2 linked regions of the Arabidopsis thaliana genome follow. The protein of the gene in region 1 interacts with the protein of each later gene in a pairwise test. Each region holds a gene or a part of one and is shown on either strand. Other genes may lie near its edges. The genes, in order: YUC2 and AT2G25010.

Region 1 (3,927 bases):
ACTATTATAGAAGCATGATGTAAAAATGATTAACTTAGTAAAATAATAAATAATCGATTAAATACAATTAATATAGTCTTTGGTATTATTCTTGCTTCTACCAAGGTAAGAGTTGCACCAATGGAAAATACAGAAGCCAAAAGAATATATAACTAATGATGCAAAGAATCATATGTAACGTACGCATATATATTTGGGAAGTGATTATCATAGGATTTGAATAGTATCGTAATGTTATACACTGTGACCATGACATGCGATACAAGCAAAAGTTGAATTTATAACAGTAACTCATTGTGAGATATGAGTGGTAAGAGATGGTAATCATAGTACACCAAGTTGACTGCACAGTGATAACATATATATATTCTCTTTTCAATATGATCAATGATAGGTTATAGTTCATATCATATGATGTGTCCTATCATCACTCATGATATATATAATGAAACATAAGGCACAAATATAGTTTTACATATATTCCTTGACCAATCATAAATCCATTAAAATGTAAGTTCATAGGTCATTTTGTTTTTAATATACAATGTCCTTTTCGCCTTAAGCTAAGGTATATTTAGTTTCAAACTAGAAACCAACTTTTCTTTAACGAAAAGGAAAAATAAACTTGAAATGGTTGAATTTTGGTAAAGTAGTTATAATTTTACCGGTTTCTCTTTATTAGCCAAAAATAAATGATAGTAAGGCTATAAAAGGAGAAACAAAAGTATTGACCACTCTTGGAGTTTACAATTGGATGTTACAACTTGAAATGCGCACCAGTGGAAATGTAACTTTGAAGGAGCTGTAGAACATCTTAATTGCAGCTTTGATTTTATAGACGACGACACTCGAGAAATGCAAAATCCATCAGTGGCAAAAGATTCTCCAAACTTTGTGGGGGCACACGAAAACACTTTTAGTTTCATGTTCTCCATCATGTCTCACAATACTTTGTTGTAGTTGTTTCCTCATTGTGGTGATTCTGAGGATATTCGTTTTCAGCTTGGTTTCTTTTGATCATTGTACCTTACTTTGATCCGTCCTAATTAACTTCCATTTCCAAAATAGCATGTTCCACAACTATCCAACTAAAACGTGACCCTGCATGATTTTCATGTAATCATTTTACTGATTAGCTAATTCTTGGATCATACCGAGAATATCACACTAATGCTCATGACTAGTTGAACATCTTAAAAGGCCGCCAGGAGCTATAACATCTTTAAAATACATTTCATAAAGTCCTCGGTGTATAAAAGACAAAAGTTCAACTAGCTATACACCGAGGACTTTATGAAATCTATTTTTTTTTCTTCTTCAAGTTGGATTCTTTAGTGGGTTCATTGTTTTCAAATATTTTCTAACATGGGACTTTTTGTATCAATCGGGTTGGCTAAATTTGGTCTCTTTTGATAATACTGCAAAAAAAAAGAATATATAAAAATAGGTGAGATATTTTTATACCTAAAATGGAAAGAAAAGTATAATCGTTTAGTTAATGGTTCGTTATCAAATCCCAATAGCCATAATTACGATATAAAGTATAGTAATTAAATAGAATTAAACATAACATGCCCATCCCACTACCTATCCACCTATATATATATATATGTATATATACAAATAGAGACATGTATCTCTCCCCAATTATGTCATGTGTCCATCGCCATCTCATCTTTTTTTTCCAACTCTTATAAAGAGTTGCTTCTCTCTCCCCAAGTATTTGTTTCAGAACCGCAAAACCTCTTCTTCAAAATCCGAAATCTTTGTTTCAAATCTCAATTCTTGAGAGATTTTCTTATAACAAATACTACAAAAATCTTTTGAGTTTGAAAAAATAATATTTCATCATTAGATTTACCCTGGTTTATAGGGAATATCCGATCTTTCTTCTTATCTATTTGGTTTATTTTCTTCTTAGTTCTTTTTGTAGATAAGATCAATGAAACTCATTCTCTCTTTTCACCTCTATTCTCGGGACATAATTATCCACGAGTCACAAAAGAGAGTATAATCTTTGTTTACCACACGGGTTTAAAAACCTAATCTGATATCAGTCCCCTACTTCACTTCTTGCATATTTTTAGATCTATTTCTCTCTTTTTTCTTCTCTTTCTCTCTTTCATGGAGTTTGTTACAGAAACGTTAGGCAAGAGAATCCATGATCCGTACGTGGAGGAAACTAGGTGCTTAATGATTCCCGGACCAATCATTGTCGGTTCCGGGCCGTCGGGACTGGCCACAGCGGCATGTTTAAAGTCGAGAGACATCCCTAGTTTGATTCTAGAACGTTCCACTTGCATAGCGTCACTATGGCAGCACAAAACATATGATCGTCTTCGACTTCATCTCCCTAAAGATTTCTGTGAGCTTCCATTGATGCCTTTTCCTTCAAGCTACCCTACTTACCCTACAAAGCAACAGTTCGTCCAATACCTTGAGTCTTACGCCGAACATTTTGACCTAAAGCCCGTTTTTAACCAGACCGTGGAGGAAGCCAAGTTCGATAGGCGGTGTGGGTTATGGAGGGTGAGGACAACCGGAGGGAAGAAGGATGAGACAATGGAGTATGTATCACGGTGGCTTGTTGTGGCGACCGGGGAGAATGCCGAGGAGGTGATGCCGGAGATTGATGGAATCCCGGATTTTGGTGGACCTATCCTCCACACAAGCTCCTATAAGAGCGGTGAAATATTTAGTGAGAAGAAGATTTTGGTTGTAGGATGTGGAAACTCCGGGATGGAAGTTTGTTTAGACCTTTGCAACTTCAATGCTCTTCCTTCTCTTGTGGTTCGTGACTCGGTGAGGATGAACAAAACTCTTCTCGTTAATATATGCAAGAACAATGATAGATGTTTAATTAGTATAGTTCTTGCATTTTCTCGCTCTACGTAATTTGTCACTCTTAAAGGTTTAACACTAACATCATTGGTCTCTTTGTGATCAAGTAACCAAATGTTTACTCTTTTCTTCTTTCGCTTTCAAAAAAATCCACGCATGTGATTATATTGATTCAGATCTCTTGTAATTTTATGGATTATATATTCCAATTCCATGATTACAGTTTTGGCTAATTAAAGTTTTTGTCTAATGCTATAGGTACACGTATTACCTCAAGAAATGCTAGGTATATCGACTTTCGGGATATCCACGAGCCTGCTCAAGTGGTTTCCAGTGCACGTGGTGGACCGGTTCTTGTTACGTATGTCTCGGTTGGTTCTTGGTGACACGGATCGGTTAGGGTTAGTTCGACCAAAACTTGGCCCTCTTGAACGCAAGATCAAATGCGGAAAGACTCCTGTTTTGGACGTTGGCACTCTTGCCAAAATCCGAAGTGGACACATCAAGGTTCATTAATTATAATTAAGTATTTTTAATACAATCTTGATTACAAAACCGTGAGCTTATGGTATATTGATTTGTTTTTTTTTGTTTTTTCTTGACTTTTAGGTGTATCCGGAGTTGAAACGGGTAATGCATTATTCGGCAGAGTTTGTTGATGGGAGAGTAGATAACTTCGACGCCATTATACTCGCCACGGGTTACAAAAGCAACGTACCCATGTGGCTAAAGGTGTGTACCATGAGCGATGATGCGTCTACATCTTCATTATTCTTAATTCCTTGATATTGACACATCACAACCCATTTTACGTTTCAATAGTTGAATTAACTTGGTTTGACTTTGAACTGTTTTTTTTTAGGGAGTGAACATGTTTTCTGAGAAAGATGGATTTCCGCATAAACCATTTCCTAACGGTTGGAAAGGCGAAAGCGGATTGTATGCAGTCGGTTTCACAAAGCTTGGATTGCTTGGTGCAGCCATTGATGCCAAGAAGATCGCTGAGGATATTGAGGTTCAACGACATTTCTTACCATTGGCTCGTCCTCAACATTGTTAATTAACCTGAGATTCGGGTTTCGATTT
Region 2 (3,927 bases), on another chromosome or scaffold:
CTGCCACCTCTTGCCATCCCCCAAACGTCAAACTATTAGCGAATGTATCTTTCACACTCTCCATCACTTCTCTCTCCGCTGGAGATAATCTCTCTAGTGCAATCCCTGAAGCAGCTTCCTCAAATTCCCTCATACAAGCAATCTACACCAAACCAAAGTAAACTTATTTTGCCGGTTTCAAATATAAGATGTTTTAAAAACAGAAATGATAGAGATTAAACTTATTTTACCATATTCATGACTTGGGACTCGAGAAACGCTTCTCGGTATAGTTTGGTGATACTGATCCTAGCATACCATTCCATGTAAGCTCCATCATCCACCACATTGCCACCTCCAGGACTGTCCACGATGTGATCCCCACGTTCAGCCCATTCCTCACACGCTAGACTCATTGACGTGTCCAAGTCATCAAGCCGACGGTTCTTTCTGTCGCGGCGTTTTACTTTCAGAGGTATCGGCTGGCGTTTCCCAAACTGCCTCAGACACCTATCTGGAAAATGTAACTCTATTTTCTCAAAGCATACAAGAGTCGTTTTCGATCTTCCTAGAATCAGCTTGGCTTTAATGTGTGGTGGAATCAAGTTCTCAAATCTTTCATATGGACACCAAGTGATCTGCATTTTCACAACCATCAATTATTAACATTTAGAGCAATACAAAATTCATAAGGATGAACTGAAGGGTTTACCTTGCTAGGATCAAGATCGTCCAGTTCTCTGCGGTACTCAGATAGGTCGGTTTTGGATCTGCTTCCTTTACCTTTCCACAAAAGAGCAAGCGGGAAACACGCTTCGGATTTCTCGGGTCTACCGATATCCAGATGAAAATAACTCCAACACTATATACATGAGACAATCATATGTTACATTTCCTAAAGATATTGAAATCTCAACTGGACAGAAAACCAAAACTAACATAGAAGCCAACCTGTAGCAAAGTCAAACAACCGCAAATGTTGCTCTGAGATTTAAGCGACGCATTACCGAGCGCTCGGTAAAGACAAGCCAACGCAGCAGCTCCCCAAGCATATCTCCCAGCTTGATCAAAATCCTCAAACAAAGGCAAATACTTAACAGAGACTTTATCACCATCAGTAGTAGCAAAAATGGTACTACCAATAAGATACAAAAGATAAGCTCGAGTATGACATTTAACAACATCGAAAGAAGCATCTTCAGGACACTCAGAGAAAGTTCTTTTAAGCCAATTAAGCTTAACCCTAGAACAATTAACTTCTTTATTAGCAGCAGATGGTAACTTCCCTAAAAGTCTACCACACATATCCATAGCAACCTCATCACCAACTTTAGAACCAACAATGGGATCTCCATCAATCTCAAGTCCAAGTACTAAAGCAACTTCGTCTAAGGTTATAGTCATTTCTCCTAAAGGAAGATGAAAAGTATTGGTTTCTCTTCTCCATCGCTCAACAAGTGCAGAGATCAGTGAATTGTTTAAACTCATTGGACCGATTTTGCGAAAGTAACCGAAACCAGCTTTGTCCACGAGGTTAATTTGTTCATCAGTGAGTTTCCATTGATGTAGCAATGAAGTGTGTTCTTGACAACGAAGTAGACCTCGTTCCTAAGGTAAGTAAGGGGAAATAAGATTAACCCTAAATTCAAAATCTGAAATTTAGCAAGGGAATTAAGAAAAAAACCTGTCCTTCCCAAACAGCAGAAGAAACATGGAGGTCTTGCTCGTATAGGACAGATGGATCAACTGGTCCGACATCAATATCCATGTCGATAACTTACTCAAAATCAGCGAAAACTAAGATTACATAAACAAATTTTTGTCAAATTCTCAAAACACGAAACTTTTGATTCTTCAATTTGGGACTAAACACAGATGAAGAAGAAGAAGAAGTTGGGATTGGAAGCTAACCGTAACCTAATTTGGACTCGGTTCATAATTTTTCTTCTTGGCTTTTTATAGCTGTACCGGTTATTTTGGTTTGGTTCTCTTAAACCGACTCTGTTTTTCGTGGTTTTACTCTGTTTCCGGGTTTCTCTGTTTCTTTTATGTCTGTAATGGCATCACATTCTTCTCTAATGGAAGTTAATACAAACAACTGAACAAGATAACATTGGAAGATACATAAACTGTCGAAGCAGCGTCAATCTACCATACTTACACCGAGCTATAACAAAACTCTTTCAACATAAGATAAAATGGGGGTGACCCTTTTTGGATACTTAGATTTGATGTAATTATATACACACACATTAAAATTGACATCTATGCCTCCTAATCAAGATCAAACAAATCTTTACCTTTTTACTAGGAATGAGCAACAAAATAGAACAAAACAGAAATATACATGTTCTAGAGAACTTTCATGTTCTTGAATGCTCTATCAATCTCCCGGAAATAGCAGTCGCAAGAGCTGCAGTGAACTTAGGATCTTTGGTCAACGAAGAAGCCATTTGTTGCACCAAAACCTCTTGAATCGTCCCTCTCTCTTTCTTTTCCTCAACTGGTTCAAGCCCACCTTGAACTAGATCAAGTTTCACTGTCCTGGACACACTTGCATGTGGTCCGGTGTGGTTATGTGTCCCTTCGTAAGTGGCTACCAAGAAAGATGGATCTTCTGCACTTCGTTGCACCTAAACAAGCGCACACACAACTAGGGAATTTAATCAGACAGCAAGATGATATCGAAGAACTCTTTAACAAAGTTTAAACCAAAGTACCTTCTTCTTGACTAGACAAGACGGTGAAAACGAGCATCTGAAGTAAGCTCTAGGAGATGGATTATCTCTCGTAATCTTTTGCCCGTATTTCCTCCATTGATATCCATCTTTCACAGTCTACAAGTAACGTATATCCACAAAACATTCGTTAACAAATCAATACACTCAAAGAACGATACTTGTAGTAGAAATCTCCTTACCAAGCTTGTGTCAGACTTCTCAGCAGCAAAGTAAGCGGTTGAAACCGTCGCTTTATCGTTGGTGATGTTCTCGATTGGTCCGAGACTGAGTCCAATTGGGGAGCTAACAAACTCATCAAGTTCTTGTTTTCGTTTCCCCGTTAGCTGTTTGTTCTGAAAGTTAACACTTTCAGGACTCTTTCGACTCTGCAACTCCTCCATAAGATTATTAAGAGCATAGTACTTCTCACAGACTCTTGCTAACATTTCGGTTAGCTTCTTGTTCTCCGAATTAACCCGGTTTATTTCATCTTGTAGCATATTTCTCTTCTGTGTAAAATGAAAATCACCATTACCAAACTAAGCTGTAAGACAAAGCTTTGATTTGTTCAACTTTTGAGCATCACCGATCTAAACAAACTATTCAATGTCTAAATCAGATATGAGAACTTGATCAACCTAATCCATTCACTCATAGTCAAAAATTTTGAGGTCAAAGTATTGCACACCAAAGTGTTCGATGAAAGAACTAACCTCATCTTTCACTAACCATTTCTTCTCTACAACTTTAGAAGCTGAAGCCGAGACTTCTCTTTTCTAAATCAGGCAATAAAATATATATGAACACCACGAATAATCACCACAACCTCGAAAATTGAAGTGAAATTTTCGAAGAAATTGAAAAACTCACCGGAAGTTTACCGGAGAAATGAAGGTCGAACGGATTGGTGTTGGGATCATAGTCCATAAATTTAGGTTCACAGGAGCCAATTTAATGTAACGTGAGATTATAGCGAAGACCAAATTCATAATTGCTAAGAGATTTGGTCTCCTTTGGTTTTATAGTAACTAGTAAGTGGAGAGAGTGTAATAACTTGTCAATTATGAGAAGGTTGACGATTTGGGTGGAAAATGAGGGTCTCCTTTCTAATTCTAAAAAAATTATTATAAATCTTTTACAATTCTTGTAAATTCTCATAAACTTTCTTTAAAACCTTTAAAAGTTTTTAAAACTCTTTGTAAAATCGTTTTAAAACTTTTATTAAATC

Evidence for each region.
Region 2: the proteins of YUC2 (region 1) and AT2G25010 interact in binary tests that used the Arabidopsis thaliana proteins (3 or more experiments, as listed by UniProt).

Annotation. Positions count from the first base shown.
Region 1 is NC_003075.7:7,721,814-7,725,740, reverse strand, and holds the start of YUC2 (Flavin-binding monooxygenase family protein), read left to right. Parts: upstream 1-1,670; 5' UTR 1,671-2,124; coding exon 2,125-2,802; intron 2,803-3,099; coding exon 3,100-3,348; coding exon of another isoform or gene 3,349-3,357; exon of another isoform or gene 3,358-3,450; coding exon 3,451-3,573; intron 3,574-3,703; coding exon 3,704-3,901; 3' UTR 3,902-3,927.
Region 2 is NC_003071.7:10,629,511-10,633,437, reverse strand, and holds the start of AT2G25010 (Aminotransferase-like, plant mobile domain family protein), read right to left. Parts: upstream 1,908-3,927; 5' UTR 1,748-1,907; coding exon 1,664-1,747; intron 1,588-1,663; coding exon 931-1,587; intron 842-930; coding exon 692-841; intron 618-691; coding exon 231-617; intron 143-230; coding exon 1-142. Other genes in the region: WRKY60 (WRKY DNA-binding protein 60), read right to left, coding at 2,343-2,612, 2,700-2,816, 2,900-3,208, 3,413-3,475, 3,570-3,626. UniProt on the Arabidopsis thaliana protein: Acts as an important factor for cell fate determination and maintenance throughout plant development. Required for the organization of the root apical meristem (RAM) and the shoot apical meristem (SAM).